Linked DNA regions of Styela clava. The protein of the gene in region 1 interacts with the protein of each later gene in a pairwise test. Links are inferred from orthologs where the notes say so. Each region holds a gene or a part of one and is shown on either strand. Other genes may lie near its edges. The genes, in order: centrosomal protein of 63 kDa-like; serine/threonine-protein phosphatase 4 regulatory subunit 1-like; spectrin beta chain, non-erythrocytic 1-like.

What was found.
Region 2: the proteins of centrosomal protein of 63 kDa-like (region 1) and serine/threonine-protein phosphatase 4 regulatory subunit 1-like interact in a two-hybrid assay, tested with the Homo sapiens proteins (2 studies listed by BioGRID and IntAct). The link is inferred for Styela clava from reciprocal best matches to the Homo sapiens genes CEP63 and PPP4R1.
Region 3: the proteins of centrosomal protein of 63 kDa-like (region 1) and spectrin beta chain, non-erythrocytic 1-like interact in a two-hybrid assay, tested with the Homo sapiens proteins (2 studies listed by BioGRID and IntAct). The link is inferred for Styela clava from reciprocal best matches to the Homo sapiens genes CEP63 and SPTBN1.

The regions. Positions count from the first base shown.
Region 1 is NC_135258.1:3,855,260-3,863,285, reverse strand, and holds the start of centrosomal protein of 63 kDa-like, read right to left. Parts: upstream 3,012-8,026; 5' UTR 2,892-3,011; intron 1,320-2,891; 5' UTR 1,293-1,319; coding exon 1,134-1,292; intron 666-1,133; coding exon 446-665; intron 15-445; coding exon 1-14. Other genes in the region: uncharacterized protein LOC120339798, read left to right, coding at 3,735-3,771, 4,100-4,178, 5,001-5,171, 5,679-5,810, 6,069-6,155, 6,533-6,678, 7,509-7,612. UniProt on the Homo sapiens protein: Required for normal spindle assembly.
Region 2 is NC_135250.1:1,384,301-1,391,891, forward strand, and holds the start of serine/threonine-protein phosphatase 4 regulatory subunit 1-like, read left to right. Parts: upstream 1-4,507; 5' UTR 4,508-4,549; coding exon 4,550-7,495; 3' UTR 7,496-7,591. Other genes in the region: toll-interacting protein A-like, read left to right, coding at 1,911-2,825. UniProt on the Homo sapiens protein: Regulatory subunit of serine/threonine-protein phosphatase 4. May play a role in regulation of cell division in renal glomeruli. The PPP4C-PPP4R1 PP4 complex may play a role in dephosphorylation and regulation of HDAC3.
Region 3 is NC_135262.1:2,863,548-2,870,807, forward strand, and holds the start of spectrin beta chain, non-erythrocytic 1-like, read left to right. Parts: upstream 1-4,179; 5' UTR 4,180-4,296; intron 4,297-5,618; 5' UTR 5,619-5,648; coding exon 5,649-5,690; intron 5,691-7,260. UniProt on the Homo sapiens protein: Fodrin, which seems to be involved in secretion, interacts with calmodulin in a calcium-dependent manner and is thus candidate for the calcium-dependent movement of the cytoskeleton at the membrane.

The DNA.
Region 1 (8,026 bases):
CTCACTTATCTTTCCTGTTGAAAGATAACAGCTAGGGTAGGTAAAATAAAGTACTTCTATCGAATCTGAAATTTCAAATATTTTCAGTCTACGATCAAGGCCAGGGTCGATACTCTATTTGGAAAATAATGGAAGATATGAATAATTGGTAAAAACAAAATTGTTTGCGTTATATTAGTAGGTGTGATGGCTTAGTGCAGTGTTTCTCAACCTTTGCGTCGCGACCCAAAACTGCGTTGCATGAAAAATCTTTTTGGGTCGCCTGTTATTTCATCAATAAACTTGAAAGTTATTGATATTATTTTCTAGTTGATTTTATAGATTACTTAATATCTGGTAATGGAGTGTTCTTAGGAATTGTATGAGCATGGCTGTCTCAATTCGAAGTAATTTTTTGTAAAATAAATGTTATATAGTATTTTAAATTATTTGATTAAATAATCACCTTGTTTTGCATAATGTTTCTGCATTTTTGAGTACGTCGATTTCAATTGTAGTAATTCGTTGCGAAGATACGATAACTGGGATTCGTATTGTTTTACCACGTTTCGTTGGCTACCGTCAAACCCATCTAATTTGTGTTTCAACATTCCTACTTCCTGATGTTTTTGATTTAACATAGATTTAGTGTGACCGAGTTCTTGTTCACGAACTTCGAGTTTGTCCTGCAATAGTGAGAAGAGATTATTTACGAAGTGCCTTATATCCTTGCATATAGGCCGAGTTTAAAAGTCTTAGTATAGATAAATCTCATGCCTCCCACTTGACTCTCATAAATACTCAAAAAACATACGCCATGCCTCCCCCCTCCCCCAAAAAAATTCAATATTTTTTTGTAATGCACTTTCCAGGGATCGCAGTCAGACATCAATTTTGCGGCTTTTCAATACCATTTTGCTCTATTCTTGAACAATACACTGAAACTCAACGTTTCTTGGCTTACTACCAACAATCCTTTATTATAGCTTGGATAACTCCCGACAGCGAAGTGAGTTTGTAGAGTGTTTATTTGGGATCTAGTTAGAAATGGCTTAATAACAGCTTTTGTCTAGCCTTGTTTGAAGCAAAAGGCATGAGTGAAGCTGAAAGCAAAAAAAAATTACTATCTTATCGAAGAATACAGAAATAGTTACCTGTACAGCTGCTAGTTCCCCTTCCCATTCCATTTTCTTATGTCGGACCATGATGTCAATTTGCCGCATTAATTCTTGCAGTTCAGCACCACATGATGTCAGTAGTAATCCACCATCTAATTGTTGCTTCTGCATACCTTCCCATATTGTAGTGTCCATAATTATGTGCTGCTAATATGTGTTATCCTGTAAAGGACAATATAGAAAAATAATTTACGCAATCCTGTTGAATTAAAAAAAACTTGTGCATTTTAATTTGGATGAAAATTATTAGGTCAGTATGTTGGGATAGGCTACATAATTTTATGAATCAGTCTTAAAAAAACATAGAAACAGAATCATTGCAACAAAAAACCATGAAGACAGTAGGCTATAGTTATCTGACTCCCATATGTCCCGACATTTGGGCACATAAAAAAAACACTCTGCCATCACGTGACCAAAATTCTGTTTTTTTGCTATAAACTCTCAAATGCTTTCAAAATTTTTTTCCTTCCAGTAAATTAGATCTCTACAGCACAATTCTCCTATTAAAAAAAAAAACCCACATAAAAAAGACATTAATTATAACAGTGAGTGCGAGGCCCCCCTTTACGAAAAAGTCAGGTCTCATGTAGTTTCTTACCTAACACACTTCTAGTGGGCGTAGCATGAAATTTTTTTCAAGTATCAATCCTAACCCCCACCTGACTACACCATCCAAAAATTACGTCATTACGACGTCACAGTGACGTAATAGAGCCCTTCAAACTATACGAACTGCCATCCAAGACGCGCAAACGAGCACCCGAAATCGAACAGTTCTCTCGTCGCAACGATTCCAATAGGAGAGAGACCGATAACGTCAGTCAGTTTTTTATCGCCGGCGCCAATGCCGTTTCGGTCGATCGTGCGTATATTTGGCAAGCTCTATGCCGTGATTGTGATGTCGTAGTGATTTAATTTTTTTGGATGGCGTAGTCAGATGGGGGTTAGGATTGACATATCAAAAAATTGTTATGCTACGCCCACTAGAAGTACGTTAGGTACGAAACTACACGAGACCCAAAAAGTCTGGGGGCTCCATATCGCCTCAAAACACAAACCGGCACTGCAGATAAACCAAACGGAAGTGCAATTCAAAAACATTACTATTGAATTCCTTGAAAAAGATAATCGAGTTTACAAGATTAAAAAAATATTTTCTGTTGTAGCATTCAGAGTTTTTAGCAAAGAAAGAATATGTCATCGTAACAGACGTCCTCGTTTCAGAGACAATATAATGTTGTTTTATTGAACCAAATGTCGGGACATATTGAAATCAGAATACTGTGCCCTATTTAATCATTACCATAAATCACAACAATTTTTGTTACAATTTATATGGGCATTCGGAAAAGCTTTAAAAAATAAACTAATCACATCCAGCAAACTTGTGGAATACATGTGTTAGCTGTTCACTAAAAGACCAACACTGACAAAGGCAAAAAAGAATATTTCTGTATTTGTAAATGTTTTCCATTAGCAACTACAGGTTTACATTTAACAGAGTGAGAGAGATTTCGCCAACCTGAAAACAGAGCAGAGAGAGAGAGAGAGATTTATTTCCACAAACAATGAAATGAGCATTGCAACAATAATAAAAATATACAACAGCACATACCACTAACAATAATTAGTCAACATTAATTCTAATTTGGTTTGAACTTTTTTGAACATCAATTAATCCTTATACCTTCCCCCATATTTACTCCCGTCCAAAAAATTACTACAACTCACTTGGTTTTCGTTTTTCCGCCAACGATTTTGTAAAATTTTCTGTTGGTGTTCGTTGTCGCGCCTCAGTGATTACAAAAATTATCCTAGCGTGTAAACAGCTGATACTGGATTATATATTCTTATAAAAGTAATGAGGTAATTAGTATATAAGAATTAATATTAATATTAAAATTATATTAATAAAATGCGGTTGAAGATTATTTATGGTATATTCAATCAGATAAAAAAACTCAAACTAATTGAGCGAAAGAAAACACATTCGGCGACCGAGAGCAGAATAATGTTGACGTCTAGTCGTCGTACGAATTGCCAACTAAATGTACCGTACTCGTTTCTATATACTTATTCAGAAAATAGATTTAGAAAGTTAACCAATTATTATTCTGTTAAATATATAATATTATAAAAATTATTGAAATTTAGTTCAGTATAATTTTAATTATTTCAAACTAAATGGTAAATTGGAATTTATTATTTACTTAATTTAAGTACCGGTATAAGTTTACCGGTATTATTCATAATCAGCAGTAGACGATAAAATATTAAATGAAGACAAAAAAATACCTGATTATAGAATCGGGAGAGCAAACAAAACCTCGAGTAAGGTTTGAAATGTACAGAATTTAGATGGAAAAGTATGTGTTCGCTCACACAAAAATATTTAAAAAAAATATGGCATTAAGAATTTTAGCTCAATTCTAAATCTTGTCGAATTGATAAATCTGAATAATGCTCGACGTCCTTTCTGAAAGACTGAAATAAGTAGTTTGTAATTGTTGAATGTTTAGTGCGAAAGATGGATTAAAGTTGTAGAATATAGGATTTTTGTGAAATATTTGAACAATGGAAGACACAAACATTTTTATTCAGGCCATCGAGGGTGAGTTTTTTGTTTGAAATTGTATTTTTCAATATTTCATTTATCAAGTATGAGTAACGTTATGAGTTTTTTTCGACTCAATAATCAGCATAATAGGCGATAAAATAATTGATAAAAACAAAAGAAATAAAACTGATTGTAGAATTGGTAGGGCAAACAATGATGGAGTCTGTGAATTCTAAATCTTGATATTACAGTACGGCACACTATACAAATCGGGTGACTTTGTCCCGTTTCAGAGAAACCATTTTCCATATGATCAGACACCCCTCCTTTGGGAGATGTCTGGACATTGTTATCTCTCATACATTTTTATTTTATTTTTTAGGCTATGAAGAAAAACAAGATCCCCTGTCAGAAGAACTTGATCGGTTTATAACTTACATTGCAAGGACCGGAGATATCTTGTAAGTTTTGTTTCTGGGTTGTTGGCTGGGTTCTGTGTTAAGTTTTGTGGTATTGACACTTTTTGAGAAACACAGCCCTAAAAATACTCGGGTCTGATATAGTTTAGTACCACATGCACTTCTAGTTGGCCTGGCTCAACAATTTTTGCATATGTCAATCCTAACCCTTACCTGACTACGTCACCCAAAAATTACGTCATTTCGACGTCACAGTGGCGTAATAATGGCCACCAAAGTACGTGAAAGGTCGTCCAAAACGCGCAGACGAGCACCCGAAATCGAGCAAGCTATCTCTCTTGTTTTCTCGTCACAACGATCACGATAGGAGAGAGATCGCTGGCTTTAGCGGGTTTGTTATCGGCGGCGCAGATGTCATTTTGGGCGATCGTAATTATACTTTGGCAAGACCTATGACGTGATGGCGACGTCGTAGTGACGTAGTTTTTGGATTGCATAGTCAGGTGGGGGTTAGGAATAACATGTGCAAAATTCGTTATGCTACGCCCACTGGAAGTACCTGTGGTACTAAACTATACTAGACCCAAATACTCAAAGATGTCCAAATTGTATCGAATATTTGGTGTGTTAAATTCTTGATCAGTGAAAAATATCTAGAATAGCTACATTACAAAAATCATCCTTCCCAGCTATTGAGAATGCATGTGGAACATTTTCCGGTTTTGGTCATCCCTGAGTTTTGACCAATTTGATGGAGTTCTTGATTTTTCACAATTACTTAGCTATTTAAGCTATTATTCTTGTCTTGCAAATAAGCAAAATTTTGTATTCCTTGTTGAAGTTTAATATATTCTTCTCCACTAGGGGGCCATGGGAGAAAGTACAGAAAGTTTTCATGAAGAAATTGACGTCAGTGTTAGATGAATTTTACAATATGGCTCCTTATAAAGTTGGGAAAATCAACGCAAATGCGACCAACGATGATTTTGATGAAATGAAAAAAAGATTGTTGCAGTTGACGGAAGAGTTTGACAGGTGTGTTACTATGTTTCTTGATTCAATAGTTTGGGCCAGTGGAAGTTTCCTCGACCCTTGACCCCCAAAAAAATCTCCCTATACTTAACCATTGCAAAATTTTAAACGCTCATTTCGAGAGTGTTTTGGGGAATTAGCTCATACAAACTGGCTCACATGTTCAAAACTCATTTTTATTAAAACGCAAAACTGCGTGCCGCTTACAGATACTTATAGCTAATTTTATAATAGTCTATCGCAGCATTTGCAGTATCGATTTTTAATTATTGCAACTCATCTAAATGTTCTCGTGAGGCATGCTGATTGATGCTTGGGGAAACATCCATAGTGGTCGCATTCTGATGAAAATAAATTTAATCAGTTACAATACTTTGAGCAAATTTCTGTTGGCTCTATGGCATTGCTTGGTATTATTTTTTTCAGACTCCGCAGCTCTTCCCAGCTCCCATTTAACTTATAATACTGTGAGAAATGATAGGAAAAATTAGTTGAATCTTTCTTTTACAGTCCGCCTTTCACAATCCAAAGACTTTGTGAACTTCTTGCAGAACCGAGGAAGAATTACACAAAATGTGATAAATTTATGAGAGGAATTGAGAAAAATCTAATGGTTGTCAGCTCATGGAGTAATCTACCAAGGTAAGACCTTTTTTCAAATAAAAATCAATTTTGAAAATAAAAATTTGACCTTGTCAAAAATTTAATTAATTATATTGATAGGCCTTTGTGCTCAGGTAATTTTTAAATGAGCAGCAACTGTATTTATTGATATATGAAAACCACTATTTTTGGATGCCAACGCAACTTTGTCTATCATTTTACCCACAATACCATTGTGACTATGAATATTCTATTGTTTTTTTCACCCCTACTTGTAATGAACAAACAATTTCACAGGACTCTCTCAGATAGCAATGACAACAACATGATGGTGAATGGTGTGGACTCGATGCCGGGCAATGGATACACTCCTGGAAGCGATAGGTGGGTGTAATGAATGTGTGAGTGAGTGTGTTCACCTGTGACTATGCTCAGAGATATGTCTCGTTTGATTGTTTAATTTAGTGAGTGTTACATTGCATTGAGGCTTGCTTTGAACAAATTTTGAATATAGACGAACTTCTTCTTTTCTAGTGGTCGAACCAGTGACCATCGAATTACTGTGTGAATTTTTTCACTCACTATTACATTTATATCAGATTTTATCCTTTTGTCCCAAATTTGACTGTTTTTTTTAGTTCATGGGTAAACTTTCATATGTCGTTTGGTACAATGGTTGCCCTATTAGTTAGACATTTAACTTTTGTTTTAGACTCGTGTTTTTTAGCTAATTGCCTATTTTTTTCCTGTTCAAACTTTAGATTCAAACCTCATTGGTCTAATTTGCCACCATCACCAATCAGCACTACCCCACCTAAGATACCGGGAGTTCCAGATTTTACAGCAGTTACTTTGCCAAAGCTGGAAATCACTACTGGAGAAACAGGAGAGTCTACTATTGAAGATGGTATGTATAGAATAGGTCTGTGGTTCCCAAACTGGGGTGGCGCCCCCTCATGGGGTCGCATGAAGATTTTGGGGTGTGCAACATTTTTTGTCGGTGGGCCATATAACCAACTTCAAACATTCAGCTGGGACAAAAGAAGAGAATGCTGCTATTCCCTGGCCTTACAGTAATAAATGCACCGGGCAAATCGTCATAAGATTTAAGAATATTAGTGTTGATAAGGGCCTTACAAAAGGCCTGACGGGCCGGGTTGTGACTCGCGGGCCGGGCCACCTGTTGTACACCCATGGGGACAATGCCAAAGTAAAATAATTCCATTTCTTTCAAATATGATTGGATCCTTGCTTATCAGTTGCTGGCTATCTAGATAATTATTCGTAGTTCAAGTGCGAAGCGAATCTAATGAATTTAATTTCATTTCTCTTTCAAGCATGGACTTGTTTATTTATTTTCCATATGACCAGTGGTTCTCAAATCGTTTAGGCCGCGCCCCTTTTTTAGAAGTCTCCCGACTCAACTCAGGAATAACTAGTTAACAATTATAGGCTACGAAAACAGATAGTAATCAAAAGTATGTTTTATTTAAAAAACATGTTAAAAATATGTGGATGGAATGTAAATATCCAAAATAAAGAGATGTAAATATCCAAAATAAGACTGACAAAATCAAATCTGAAAAATATTTAAATTTTTCTTTTTAATTAGCTTCAAGCCTCCTCAAAAAATTTTCTATTAGTCGTGGGTCGCACCCAATCGATTAAGAACCACAGTTTAAGACTTATTGACCTCCCTCTCTCATAATATGAATATGAAAATCTTATTCTATTCAGCAGAGACAAAGACAGCAGTTTCTGAAACCCCCGCTTCTGAGGAAAGGACTGAACAAACTGAAACAACACCTGAAATGGTAACAGAAGAAACTGAGAACACACAGGTAAGATGTCCAGTTTGTCTGCTCTGGAAAAGAATCACAGTAATCAAAGCATACCCAACTATGGATGTTTCATGAGCATCGATTTCCTTGTTTATTACCATAACAATGGCCAATTAGTAAAAAGTCAGCAATGACGTAACAATTGCAATTTTTGCATGCGTTTTGAGCGTAGTGCCAACTCTCCAAAACACTCTCAGAATAAGCATCCAAAATGTTTTTGAACGGTAAAGTATGGGGAGAATTTTTCTGGGGTCAAGGGTCGGAGAAACATACATTGGGTTCGAAAAATTAATATTTTGGTTGTTAAACTATTTTAAATACAATTTAAAAAATAATTTTTGAATATGGAATATTGAATAATTGTATGTATTTTATCAAGTTGGGTTTTGCCTAATAGATAAATTTCCTTTGATC
Region 2 (7,591 bases), on another chromosome or scaffold:
ACAATAATCGTATTGACAAAAAAAACTAATTGTTCACGCCCGCCGGGGAGCAAGAATCAATCTAACTAAGGCATATGATTCGATCATTTTAAATTGAACTATTCGAAAACCACAGAAGAACCCGATTCACCAATCTTTTCGAGACATTTAAATTTGGCCTATACAGATATTCCGTACTGGATTGTCTCTAAATCATTATTACTGTAGGTTGAGTGCTCCAAAAGTAAAACTGCCCGAAGGTTCAATACATCCGCGTATTTTTTGTTTGTTCATTTCTGGCCCAAGCCATGTTTAAAAAGGTTTGTGTTTATTGTAATTTTTTTGCGTGTGTGCTGGTGGGTGGGCACATGATATTTCTCATGTTTTAAACTTTTCAAAGGTTTTGTTCGCTCTCCAGAATTCTCCTTTTATATTTTGTGTGTATTATGGAGTCTTCAAAATAAATCTATCTATCTATGAGACAAGGAAAACTGGGGGAAATATAGCTTACCGAATCAATTATGCCAGAATTGCAAAACATGATTGAAAATATATAAGAGTACTAAAATATATTATGATAATATTGGAAGTCTGCTTACAAATTTACGCGGCCAAGTACAAGCCGGAGCGTTAATTGGGCAGCTCTGTGGACTCTTCTCCGTCGTGAGGTGGATGGTTCATGTAACCACCAGTCGTGTATAGATTACCCCACCATCAAGTACACATACATAAAACAAATAACTAGCTTAACACAATCTCAGCCGACATGGACTGAAACCGTGCGAGTGACTGTAGTGTGCCATATGGGTTAGCCCAGTGTTTCCCAAACTTTTTCGTCAACGGGACACTTACACTTTTTATCTCGCTTCGCGGAACACCAAAAAAAGAAAGGGTAAAGTTGATAATGAATAACGGTGTAATGTAGCCGTTCCCAGTGGGTTCTCAATGCGCCGCGAAAATTAACAGGATTGTTTTGAATATTTTACATAATGCATTTATTATAAATGTTTTATTATTTCCTAATTTAAATGCTGTGTATATGGATCAATTCATTTATTTTACTGCAGTTCATCTACTGAATAGAGTTTAGCGAAATGAGTAATTTTTTTCAGCATTCTAGAGTAAAACCAGGCAGAGATGGGGAAGAAGTGTTGACTTTTTGCCTTTATTCTTTCTACTCGTTTGCCTATAGCAAAAATCAAAAGGATTGCTGTAAACTCGTTAATGAACATTCAACAAGCTAGGCCGACGGAAAAAGCCACTACCCCAGTAAGTAAAGGTGACGGCCAGTTAGACGACAACTTCACGTTCCAAAGATCGCCATGGCGACCATTTTAGACGTAACACTTCGATGACGCTCGCGGAACACTAGTGTTCCTTGGAATACAGTTTGAAAAACGCTGGTTTAGCCAATCTTGTCAGATTTCCTCCCGGCTCGGCGGCGTGGCGCATCATGCTGAGCGTCAGAAATACGCTCCGCACCTCTGCGTGGGTTCGCAAGTTTGAACCCCGTGGGCCGTGAGTGATGATTAGGTGCGAAAAGATTGCTGGACTTCTCGCCGCCGTAGGGTGGTTCACGTAACAACCCTTGGTCGGCTACGGCTTCCTCCACCATAAAGTTCAAGCATCTGAAATAAAGACCTGGCTAACTAACCTTATATACTCGACATGGATCGGTAACCTGACGAGAGGCATTGGTTCGCCATACGACTAGGTCTTGTCGGCTCCCCGGGTAAATATGTGTAAATTCTAAATATGAAAATCCTATAATATTATGACCTTCGACCCTTAAAGCGTATCAAATTGTATTTTCTATTCCGCTCTCTGGCTCTGATCTTTGTGGGTCTAGTTCTCTTTTTCCAGTTTTCCGTTGACCTGTCGTTTTCAATCGTTTGAAATTTTTGTAGATTTGAGTTATCACTTAGGGTTCTATGGCTTCGGCAGTTCAACCTCAGCCTGCACAGGCTCCAACAGTAAACGGAAATGGCGGTATGAAGTTGACAGACACTAAACGAGGTAAAGTCCTTCTGGGACAACTTTCATCTGATTTTTTGAGAATAAAAACCGCTGTTTCAACAGGACAATCAAGGAACGACGCAACCCTGGCACAGCAAATGGCGTTACAGCAGCAACAAATGCTGACACAAACTGCTGTTGCAGGAACTGCAAACAGATTGAATTTAACTTTAGTTGAAGCAAAATTAAATAAGAATTATGGTGTTACAAGAATGGATCCATACTGCCGTGTTATTGTGGGACATGCAGTTTATGAAACTGCAACAGCACAAAATGGCGCAAAGCTTCCATATTGGAATAAAACTATTTCAACTACGGTGGCACAGGATTTAAAACATATCAAGATAGAAATTTACGATGAAAGAGCCTTTTCTATTGATAACAGAATAGCGTGGGGTAAAATTGACATTTCGGACGCGATAAAAAGTGGGAAATCTGAAGATGATTGGTGGCCGTTAAGCGGAAAACTTGGCGACGAAAAGGAAGGAATGATACATTTACAAATTTCATGGTCCAAAGTTCAGCAACCAATTATATACAACGCTCCAATGCCGATGATGTTCCCACACGTCTATAATCCTGCTGGTGTACCTATGATGATGCCCGCGGCAGCAGGTGGGTACATGGTGCCACCTGGTGTCCAAGTCGGGGGTATGTATCCACCAAGTCAGCCGCAAACACAAATTCAGCAACCCGCGATCACAGAACAAGATCTCAAACAAGTTAAAGAAATGTTTCCGAACGTGGAGGATAGCGTGATTAAAGCAGTTCTAGAAGCAAGTGGAGGAAATAAGGATGCAGCTATTAATTCTCTATTAAATATGCAATAATAAGTTTGGTTTAAAAAATAGGAATGTAACATGATGTAATATACTTCAGAAAAAAATTCATCCTTATCGTGTAGTCATTGAAGCTGAAACTAGCAGCATCAACTATATTCTTCTAAGATGGTAAAATCTTCCATTTCATAACTTCTGTTGCTATTTCATTTACATAAGTGAAAGTGCGTCTTTTTTAAACTGTCCTCTTTTTTGTATTTAATGTTCCCTACCCATTATAATGATCCTAAACACGGTTGACTGCTAGTCCATTAAACTCAGAACAACAAAAAAACAGAGGATATTCCCATCAAGAATATTCCATCCAAATATTTGAATACATCCCTAATTGAAGATAGTCGATACAGTAAAATTGTAAAATTAGGAAGAATTAAAAATAATTTTGTTTAAAAAATTTATCATTGTAAAGATTTGACATCCGATATCAGACATAATTCACCTTTGACACTGTAATGTGTGAAATATATACTATTTGAATCATTCTGCAATACCAATTTCAATTTATTACGAATTTACAGTTATTTGCTCAAATATCTTTTTTTTTCATAATAGTGCTTATAAATATAGTAATTATACTTGCAACCCCACAACGAGAAAAGTACAGCAATTTTGAAAATCAGTATTCTGGCTATTTCTGACTCGTATTATCAACTGTTTTAAATATGAAATATCCAGTTGTATATTATGGAGAAAATGTGTTTGTTCATCTATTGAAATATTTCAGATATTTTCATGCTAGTGTTGTTTTTTGTACATACCGTAAATATTCTCTTAAATTATGCTTTTAAATAGGCATCAATTATGTTTGTGAGGTATTTCCTTATGTTAGAGTAACTTCTGTCAGTCAGTAGTTTATTTTTCACCAAAATGAAAATGCACTCACAGTGAACATACACTTAAAAAAAGTTGAAAATGACATTTCATATTGAAAGGTGACGCGAACAACCAAAGTTGGTTATCGAGCAGCGACACCTGTGATAAGAGTCTAACTTTGATACAAGTTTAATAGAAATAAGACGAACAATATATATATAAATTAATATATCAAATATTAAAGTCGAAAAACCAAATTTGTTGTCATTTCATTTACTTTTAGTTTTTTACTATTTGTTATGGACATCACTGGTAACCAGACAAGATGCTGCCGTAGATGGTATTCCCATTACCCGGTATAAATATCCAAATCCTTTCCTTTTGCTACTTTGTTAACTGAGCAATGTTAGTTCATTGTTTCCCAAGATCTTTTAGGTTCGACATTACCTATCCAATTTATAAGCTGAAAATTACGGCTGTCGTGTATTTTGGTCTAATTTGGTATCCTTCAGTCTCCTCCACTTCCGTAAATTAATGAAGCCTGACTTGTTAGAATATCTGATTGTTATCCGGGAGAAACCAATGCTGCTATTTCATGCTTCATAGATTAGCACCAAAGTAAAATTGTTCTAAATCTAGTTGTTTATGTTTATTATTTCATTTAATCATTGTTCTTATACTACTATGTCTAATAATCAATATTTTATTGTTAATATTTTAATTCAGCTTTAAATTAAAGTTTATCGAAAAATCTAGTTTTAAATTCTATACAAAGGACGAAGAATTAATAAATTTCTGTGCAAATCAAAATCTGCCTGTACTTCGCAAAGAGAAAATTTATTATTTCTGAATTGGATAAAAGTGCCAGATTTTGCTCATTTTGACAATATAAATCAACTAAAATGACTGATTTACGGATCGTCCTAAACCTTCCGAACGAGGATATGGAGGTGGACATGGACGAGAACTTTGACGACCAGGAAGATGACAATAATGAAGGTGACCAGCACGGTCAAATGTCATTTAGCACAATTGGTAGCGGAATTATGGCTTTTAACGATTCTTCAATTCCGTCACCACTCGATGTCACTACACCTGAAGAGCTTCTGACACCGTTAGCAAGATTGAGATGTTTCGCTGTTAGTGACAATATATTTAATCGTAGAATGATTGCTCACGATGCTTGTAATGTTTTTGAAGCCGTGCAAAATGACGAGAAAGATTTCGAATCTGCTATTCAGTGTTATCTCAAGCTTTCAGAAGATTTAGAACCGTCAGTTCGAGTCGAACTCATGGAACAACTTGCTGAGATAACAGAAATATTTCATACAAGATTGCTAGACAGTGCTGTGGTGCCTATTTTACTCCGATACCTCACTGACGTGAATAATCAAGTCCGCAAAACCTGCCATAGTGTTTTAGTAGACATAACCAAAGCTGGGTATTTAAAAGTTGGTCAGTTTGAAAATGAAATTTTACCGTTGCTAAAGGATCTCACTTCACGTAAACAGGCCCCTGACGAATACCGTACAGAAGCTATCGCCCTTGTGTGTCAAATTTGTGAATCCTTCGGCTCAGAATTCGCAAAAGAATATTTTTTGCCAATATTTTTGGATTCTTGTTCTGATGACACTATATTTCATGTCCGTAAAGTTTGTGCCGCCAATTTTTCAGCATTTTGTGACATTCTCGATGATGCACTTATCAACAAAGATCTTCTGCCGCGATTTATCGGTTTATGCAAAGACAATGTATGGGGGGTGAGAAAATCTTGCGCAGAGAGTTTCCCTGACTTTGCTAAACACATGTCTGAAGAAGTTCGTATCAACACGCTCTCTCCATTGTACAGTGGCCTTCTATCAGACCAATCTAGATGGGTCCGCGTCGCAGCTTTCGAGTCTCTCGGACCTTTTATATCTACGTTTGCTGACAGCAAATCGGCGAGTGATAATTTTAATCAAGCGGCAACAGGTGTGCCTGGTTATAAAATCACTGATGATGAACTGAAATATGATTTTGATTCCTTCCTTTACTGGCGTGACCCGATACCACCCGTCACTTTCGAAGAAGATTTTGATGATGTCACTCCGATGGATCAAAACAAGGAAACAGACGAAATTCAGTCTCAAGTTTACGTGAATAGTTCTAATCCCACCCACCAAAACGAGGAGGATAAACCGGATGAACAATTAGAGCAAAAAGAAACAAGTAAGCAGCTGAAAGTTCAAACTGCAGTTGAACAACAGGATGATGACGTTTATTCACCGACCAAAGATGATGTTTTGAAATCGATTGAGTTTTCAGCGGAAAAAGAAAACATGCCGATTCATTTTGATATTAATTTGGATAAAGCCGAAAACGAGAACGCTGAGTCAGCAGAAATAAAGGATGATAAACAAGAAGAAGAATATGATGAACTTAACGCCGTTCCTTCGATAAATTTAACAACAACAAATGGAAATGTCGAAGTATTTACAGATGATTCTGGATTGGAGAAAACCACAGAAGAAGTAATTCCAAATGACGATTCTGATTTAGCAAAAGGAGACTCGACAGAAAGTTCCATTACAGAAGAGACCAAAGAGCAAACTGAAACCGTCACAGAGAAAACGCCCTCGGCTGCAGAAAACGGAAATCAAGAAAGCAGCGAGGACAGTGATGATGAATACTATGATGAAAACGAGCCACGAAATTGGCAAAGTCCGAGTTTACAGGAATACCCAGATTTGTATGAAACGGAATCGAGTGATAATATGGAAATCAATTATCGAATGTTCAGTACGCTTAATGATATCAACTACACTCGTGATTTTGCCGACCGTATTTCCGGATCAGATCACTATGCCCATTTCGATCCTATATCTTCTGTACATAGTCCCACTTCCAAAGCATCAAGCCAGCAGTCAGTCATTCCACAACAGTTGCTTGATAATTTCTTATCAATGACTGATCCGTCTAGAAAGCAAACCGTAGACACTGAAATAACGATGCACTGTGCTTATAGTCTTCCTGGTGTCGCGTACACTCTCGGACGAAATAATTGGCATTGTTTGAAAGACGTTTACCAAAAGCTGGCTTCAGACGTACAATGGAAAGTTCGGAGAACAATAGCGTCATCAATTCATGAATTGGCAAAAATTTTAGGCGAAGAATTGACAGCGACTGAGTTAGTTCCAGTTTTCAACGGATTCTTGAAAGATTTGGACGATGTTAGAATCGGAGTGTTGCGCCACCTAGCAGAATTTTTAAAGCTACTCAAACCTGAAGTCCGTGGAATATATCTTTACCAACTAACGGACTTTCTCACTATCGATAACAGCCGTAATTGGAGATTCCGCTATGAGCTGGCAAGACAATTGTGCTCTCTCACTGAGCTGTATAACTGTGACGACATTGTGAAGTATATTTGTCCAATAACGATGCGTCTGGCCACGGATAGAGTCGTCGCAGTTCAAGTGGAAGCTGGAGGACTAATCGGGAGGCTTTTGAACGAACTACATGAATCGGGGGATGAGAGAAATTTCCAGATTTTTACGGAGCGAGTTACGTCCGCATTGGCGAAGAGTACTCGCTGGAAAGAACGGGCATTATTCTGCAAAATATGCAACCTTATTCTACGAGAGCTGCTCTTACCGTTCAACATATTTTTAAAGTATTTTTCAACTACATTGGTCGAGATGGCACGCGACGGAATAGTGAATGTACGAATAATCGCAGCCCAAGCTCTCTCGTACGCTGTCCAAACGTTCTGTGATGAAGGGGAGGGAGAGGAAATGTGTGCAATGCTCAAAGAACTTCAAAGTGACAAGGACAGAGATGTCAAGTTTTTTTCAGCAATATCTTGCTGATTTCAGAACCTGCATTTTGCATCTTAATATGAAGTTCAATATAAGCTCTGTGATTTGCTTCAGTGAACTTTTGAAGATCAATGAAACGTATCCAAT
Region 3 (7,260 bases), on another chromosome or scaffold:
ACACTGTTTGTGTTTTAATTACTTTTGTTTTATATAGCGAAGTGGGATGTATTTATTTGCTAATATACAGTTTGAACTCTTATGAACCCTTATATGACTGAGCATAGTGGTACACTGTGGGTGTAAAATTGTTATGAAGAGTTTATAGACCAAGCTTCATATTTGGATATAATTTTACCGGAGCTCCCGAAGTATGCGAACCAAGATGGCGGACATCGGAATGTAATATGTGTACTAGGTTAGGGTTAGGCCATAATTTTAGGTATAAATACTACGAGAGGCTCTTGGCTAGTCTTCGAACTGATAATAGGACTAAAATAAGGAAAATTGGAAAAAAATTATCGCCTAACCCTAACCTGTTACCCATGTTACGTTCCGATGTCCGCAATCTTGCTTCCCATACTTCAGGAGCACCATTTTACCTATCTTTAACTTAAAGCATGCAAGTCTTTATTTTATGGAATAGTTTTTTTTTATCTTATGGGAGAGGAAAGTTGATGATATGACTAACTGACATTATGATATGCCAAACCATGATCTCTTGTACATTTGTCAGTCTATATTGGGTAAGGGAATCATTAGCCTGTTACTTTTTAAATTGCATGGACTTGATAGTGTAGAAAGCCATCAGCATTTCAATATAAGTCTGCTGCAATGACAAATATCTTCTCATCTTAAGATGGGATATGAAATACTCATTCACTATATCTTATCTAGCTCAGTTGACAAGTCCAAACTTAATCAATTTAAAACGGAAAGTCAAATACCAGAATTATTACACTTGGTTTCGATTCAGAATATTCTGTCTGACACTGACTTAAACTGACAATCAAACAAGGAATCATGCCTGACATATTATGATTAAGCTGTCTTGTTGACTTTTCCGTATCTGGGATAAATATGAGTATTCCTAATCCATCATCCCCAGTTTTAAAAAGGAATCTCTGAAGTCTGAATGATATTTAATTATTTTTGTTTTATTTTTATAAGTGAGCATTTATTCCACTTCAGTTTTCTTAAAATCGCCAATTCTATTTACTTAACAATTTTACTCATCGGTATTTTATTATCCGGAATTAATTTTCTGAAGGACTCTCATTTACGCTTCACTGATTTAAATCTTTTGTTTTTCTGCAAATTTCAGTCGAAGTGATGTCGTAATCGTTGTATTCGCGCTGTTATTGTGATTTCTTCTACATAGTAATTGTCATGTTTCGTTTTTGTGAAGCAGTGAGCCGTACGATGCGTATAAAAGGATAATTTTACACATGAATAAGATGGTTCATTGTGTGGCGAGTGTGTGTATCTGCATGGTTTTGATTTTGAAAAGAACGAGATTGTCATTGTCGGTTAATTTCGGGAGTCTGTCAATATATTACGTGCGTAAACTAAGGTTCATGGAGTTCAAATTTTCGGAACTTCCGTTGTTAGCGTAGGTTAGGGTTAGACCATAATATTTTACAGTTTTCTTTCATGTTTTTATTCCGTGAAACGTTTAGCTTTGCCATACTCCTTTACTTCTCAGTATTGAGATTGAAGCTTATCGGTAACAAGTTATGCTTTTTGTAAAATATAGTATCAAGTTACATCGAAATTTACCACAAAACTGCTTCAGGCACAAACAGACTAAAATTAAAGTTTGATAATGATCATTTTGAAGTGAATTCTTGTTGGTATTATTTTTGCAGAAAAGGCTTCAGGTATTGCTGTTAAATTGTGAAAGGGCAGATTTCAGGTCCAAATCCCATGTCGCCACCTCAAGAGTGTAATAAATTAGGATGAAATTCTGGAGTTGGACTCGAGCTTCACCAAAAAGGTTCGCAACCACTGCTCTAACCACATGGCCATCATTATAGGAAATCGCTGCAAAATGTCTGAATATTAGTTGCTCATATTTACACTGAAATTGCCCTCAATTTTCTGTTTTTCTTGATATGAATTGTATAAGCTATAATGATATGTTAGACTTATAATGATATGTTAAGACTTATATAAAGCTGTAATTATCTCTCAAGATGTGTCTGTAATATCTCTGTTCATCTAGATGGAATTTAAAAGTCTATCATGTCATTTATTATGGAATGTAAAATTTATATTCAAATTGTAAAAAGTAGGGTTATAGAACTAAGTCATGCAGTTGATTTGAGGATTGTTCTATTTTTCATTTTCATAAGAATGGATATGGTCCCAATTTATATCTCAATGTCTCCCGTTCTGTGAATGGTTATTGGGCTGTCGACAAGTTAGGAATAGGAATGGATATATAGTTCCAATCACCATTTGAGTAAAACTCTTTAGAGGGCTTAATAATACCATATAAACAGTAGACTTGATTTTAAGCGCTGCTGCATGGGATGTGCCTATAAAATGTATTTTTTCATTTTCATATTTTTAATGTTTGTGGTTGGATTAACTTGGATGTATGCCAATTTTTTTTTTAACCAATGGTACAATTACATTTTTGGGGGTTTGGTATTCTAGTATCTCTACTTTTTATTATTTTTTTATTATAATTATATACCGGTAGCTGACTGGAATGTATAATTTTCGAAGCTCCAGAAGTATGTGCACAAAGATGGCGCACAACCTAAACATAGTATGTGTACCAGGTTAGGGTTCAGGTTGTGCACATATTTCGGGAGCGCTGTAAAATTCTTTATTTATCTATATATCCTCACATATAAGCAGAGTTTAAACTAAAAAAAAAGTTGCCAAACAAAGGGGTCTTAGAGCGCATAACTTGATAAAAGTTAAACATAAGAATAATGGTTATCATTTTCAGTAATTCTCTTCTACAACCGTTTTTTTGTGGTAGGTGCAGCGTGTTATGATTTGTAGGGTCAGCTTATATGCGAATTTTTATAAATTCACTGTTGAAGGGCTGTTTTGCAGTAAATCTTTTCCTGTATGCTCACAATACTGTATATTGATCAATTTAAATGTAAAAATTTCTGTTAGCTAAAGCCATGGGTGTGAGGTGATCCATAAAATCTCCTAAATCTTTTTGATCGCACGAATGTAAACAAGAAAACATCTTCGTGTAAATATTTACAAATTTGTCTAGACAAGGTTCACTCAATTAAGGTGTCTGAACATTCTACACTAATAAATTTGAGATTTATTTTTTAGGAAAGCAGTTCCAATTCTGCAAGGTGGAACGTAATATTTTTTGCATTCATTTTGAGAAAGATGGAAGCTTATAATATATTTGGGGCGCTCCTGAAGCATTTGTACCAAGAAGTCGCACAACCTGAAAACCCTAACCTGATACACATACTATGCTCAGGTTGTGCGCCATTTTGATACGAATACTTCGGGAGCACCATATTTGGTACTCAATTTGAGCCCAAACTAAATTCAATCGCAATCACAACAAATTCTTTGGGCTATTTTTTTTAGCTAAAACATCAGAATTTGGTTTTTGTTGGATTGTGGCAGCATCAGGCAGGCCAGATTGAATTTGGCCCGTGTGCCGTATTTTACCCATGTCAGAGATAGCATTTTGCAATGTAATGAAATATCATTTAGACCAGGGTTTTCCAAAGTTGTCGGCTCTGCGGGCCACAAAATTATTTCTGCATTGTTCGCGGGCCACAATAGTGCCAAGAATAGGTAAACAATGCAATACAAATCGAATACTTTATTGTGCAAACACATAGTTATCAGACATAGCCATTCCGGGCTAATAGAATCCGCATTCGATTTTTAGTTTTCTATGATGCCTATATTGTAAGCATATATTCCCAACCAAAAAGATAGAAAGCCAGATAATAATTTAGACTGCCAAGCACATCATTCAACTTCGCTAGTTGCCTCAGATAGCCATAACACTAGTCCATTCAGTGACATTATTGATGTAACAATATGTCAAAAGGTTTTTCTGATTAATTTTATGACAAAACAACACGGAGTGCGATTTCTTGATTACTTTCAGAATATGATGCGGGCCACAGATAATGAAGCTGGGCCTGGGTTTGGACCACCCTGATTTAGACAGTATTCATTTGCTGCTTTTCCTTTGTATGAGATTTCCATTTCTGAGTCTGTTTTTGTGCCTTTGATGGTGAAAGAGATTCTAAAACTCATTTTATTGCATTGTCGGTATTAAATTTTTCCCAAAATGCCTGTTTTTCGATCTTTTTCATCTAAGTACTAAAATTCTTATATCTTTCAGTTTTAAATGTTAGTGTATGAAAATACAATTGATTAGCTTGGTTGTAAAGCAATACTTCTTCATCTCGTCATCTTCTGGATTCTTTGACACTAGGTGGCACTTTTTTGTGAAGAGCTAAGCAGGTGAGGACATTTTTAAAGATTCATTTAGTTATAGTTTATGATTATTTGACTATGCTCTAAATTTCGTTTTTCATTATTTTTGAATATTAATGAAGATTATCATGATTATCATGATGTTTAATTTCAGTGTAATTTTCATTTTTTTTTGTAATGCAAGAAGGTTTCAATTGTTTTATTCAATTATTAAAACAATGAAGACTCATTTACTATTAAGGTCCCATTTATAGGGACAAAATGGCTCAAATTTGATTAAATTAAATTGCCAAACAAAAGTGAATGATTCTTAAATTTATATTATTTCGATAATAAATTATTTTCCAATTATTTCACACATTTCTCGAAACTGAATTTCTCGACACCTCTATCAGAATTTCTTTTTTTTGAGTAAATTTTGTTCAGTTTGAAATTGAAAACGTGTCTTTTTTCAGGACCTAACCATCAAAAATGTTCAAATTTTTAATGAAAAAATTTCAAGAGGACGTGTTGTGCACTTTAAGCATCATTATTAATAATAGAAGAACCAGATTTTTATTAACTAGACTTTTAATAAGCAAAAAGTTTCTAAATTTCTTATAACACATTCTTTAATAAATAGCCATTGATACAAGCTTTTTATTTGGATATACCGTTTAGACGGCAGACATAGGTGTGTCCGGATATAGTTTGTCAATATTTGCAACACTCGAGAGTTATCTGGTGTCAAAGAGAGTACTTTGCGGTCTACTTGAGTTAATTATATTTCATGTACTTTAGATTTAGAACAAGTATTTTCAATTGCTATAATATCATAAATCAATTATACAATTATTATTCCATGTTTTTTAAATTATGATATAATTTATGGAATTTATGAAAATTTGTTTACTTTTGAACACTTGAATGATCATGGATTTTACATACCGGTAATCATTATTTTTAATTTACTAATTTTTACTTAATCGATTCAATTTTCATGTTGAAGGCAACATTTTTTAAAAATTTGAGCAGTAGTTCATATACCTTGGGTTCTTCATAATTTCTTTGCTTTCTTAGGAGTTTCTTATGTGTGAGTGCTTGGAAACATACTATAATTTTTTACAATATTTGATATAGCCTATTACATTTATAGGAGTTTTTTTTATATCTTCACTCAAACAAGGATATCTATATAATCGGTGTCTACTCACCTCACCTTACCTCAGAGTAAAGATATGTAATTAATGCATTATTAGACTAACAGATTATCTTATCTAGAAAGACAAATTCCGTGTTCAAGAAGTCTCACTACTAGATACAATATTTCTTTATAACATATTGATTTCTTTAATTTTTAATTTTGCAAGCTCTCACGAGGAATTGTTTAAAACCATAAAATGTCTGTTTCTTTAGCCAAGATGGAGCCGTTTGAAAGAGAAGTAAGTTTTTGTTGTGTCACAATATCATCTCGCATGCTTCGTTGTGATGTCATAGTAATGTCAGCTTCTGCTAAGGGTGACATTAGTCTAACATAAATTCACATTAAAAGACATTGCAAGTTTAAACTTTGGGCTTCCATTAGAATTTTTTATCCATTTTTTTTCTAGTAAATATGCTAAAAGAAAATAATTTACTATTTTGAATACTTTTTGTATTTTTGAATTTCGTCATAAGCACGGCAACAGAATATTGATTCTATTATTGATTTTGTAGTGAAAAAACAAGTTATGATGAAGCGGAGGTTTTATTGATTGGTTTTCCACAATTATAAGAACTTAATTATCTAATTAGCAAACCAGGAATTTCTAATCTCAATTACGGTATGTAGAATCACATTATTAAAATTAAAATATATCTAATCATTTTTAATATCAAGAATTAACTTTTTAGAACATAACTAATTTTGAATATATTCCAGTTTTTGGTTCGCTTAGAGCAGGGGTGTGCAACAGGTGGCCAACGGGCCAACAACTGACCCGCCAACTGAAGCCGAGTCATTTAGTGTGAGCCTTGTCAACACTTAGATTTTTCCTCATCAAGCATAAAATCCTAATCACTCACATGAATAGAAATTGTCTTGTCACTGGGTTAAATATTGCATTGTGATAATTTTTTGTCGGAATTCATATGGAATACTAATTTTTTTGTGTGGCCCAACTTGAGGTTCCAATGTGCCCCGACGACAAAATATGTTGAACGACCCTGGATTAGAGCAAGTAATCATAATCTTCATATGCTGTCATGGTTTGGGTGTGCTCGTTTGTTGCTTTTGGTGTCCATGCCGTTAATAAATATTCCAAATATTTACGGTAAAGAAACTAAGGAGTTTATCAAATCAAATATACTAAATTTAGGGGGCTCCCGAAGTATGCGAACCAAGATGGCGGACATCGGAATGTAATATGTGTACTAGGTTAGGGTTAGGCCATAATTTTAGGTATAAATGCTACGGGAGGCTCTTGGCTAGTCTTCGAACGGATAATAGGACTAAAATAAGGAAAATTGGAGAAAAATTATCGCCTAGCCCTAACCTGTTACCCATGTTACGTTCCGATGTCCGCCATCTTGGTTCGCAGACTTCGGGAGCCCCAAATTTAGACCAGTGGTTCTCAAACATTTTAGGCCGCCCCACATATAAATTTTAGAATTTTTTAAGTCTCGCGCCCCACCTCAAAAATAACTACCGGTAGCTAACAATAAGCTACAATTACAAATAACAGTTAGAAAGTATGTTTTGTTCGAAAAACACGTTGAAGATATGTGGATAGAACATTTAAATATCCAGAATGAGAAAAAGTAAGGTAAATAGACAAAATAAGGCGGGCAAGATCAAATTTAACAAATAATTTTATTTCAATTAGCCACATGCCCCCTCAAAATATTGTCTACGCCCCTCTTTTGGGGTGCGTCCCACTGGCTAATTTCCACTGCTTTAGAGAGCATATACATTTTGGTTCGTTTTGAAGCAACTTGTATCATCAATCAAATGCTTTTCATGTTGCAGATTTC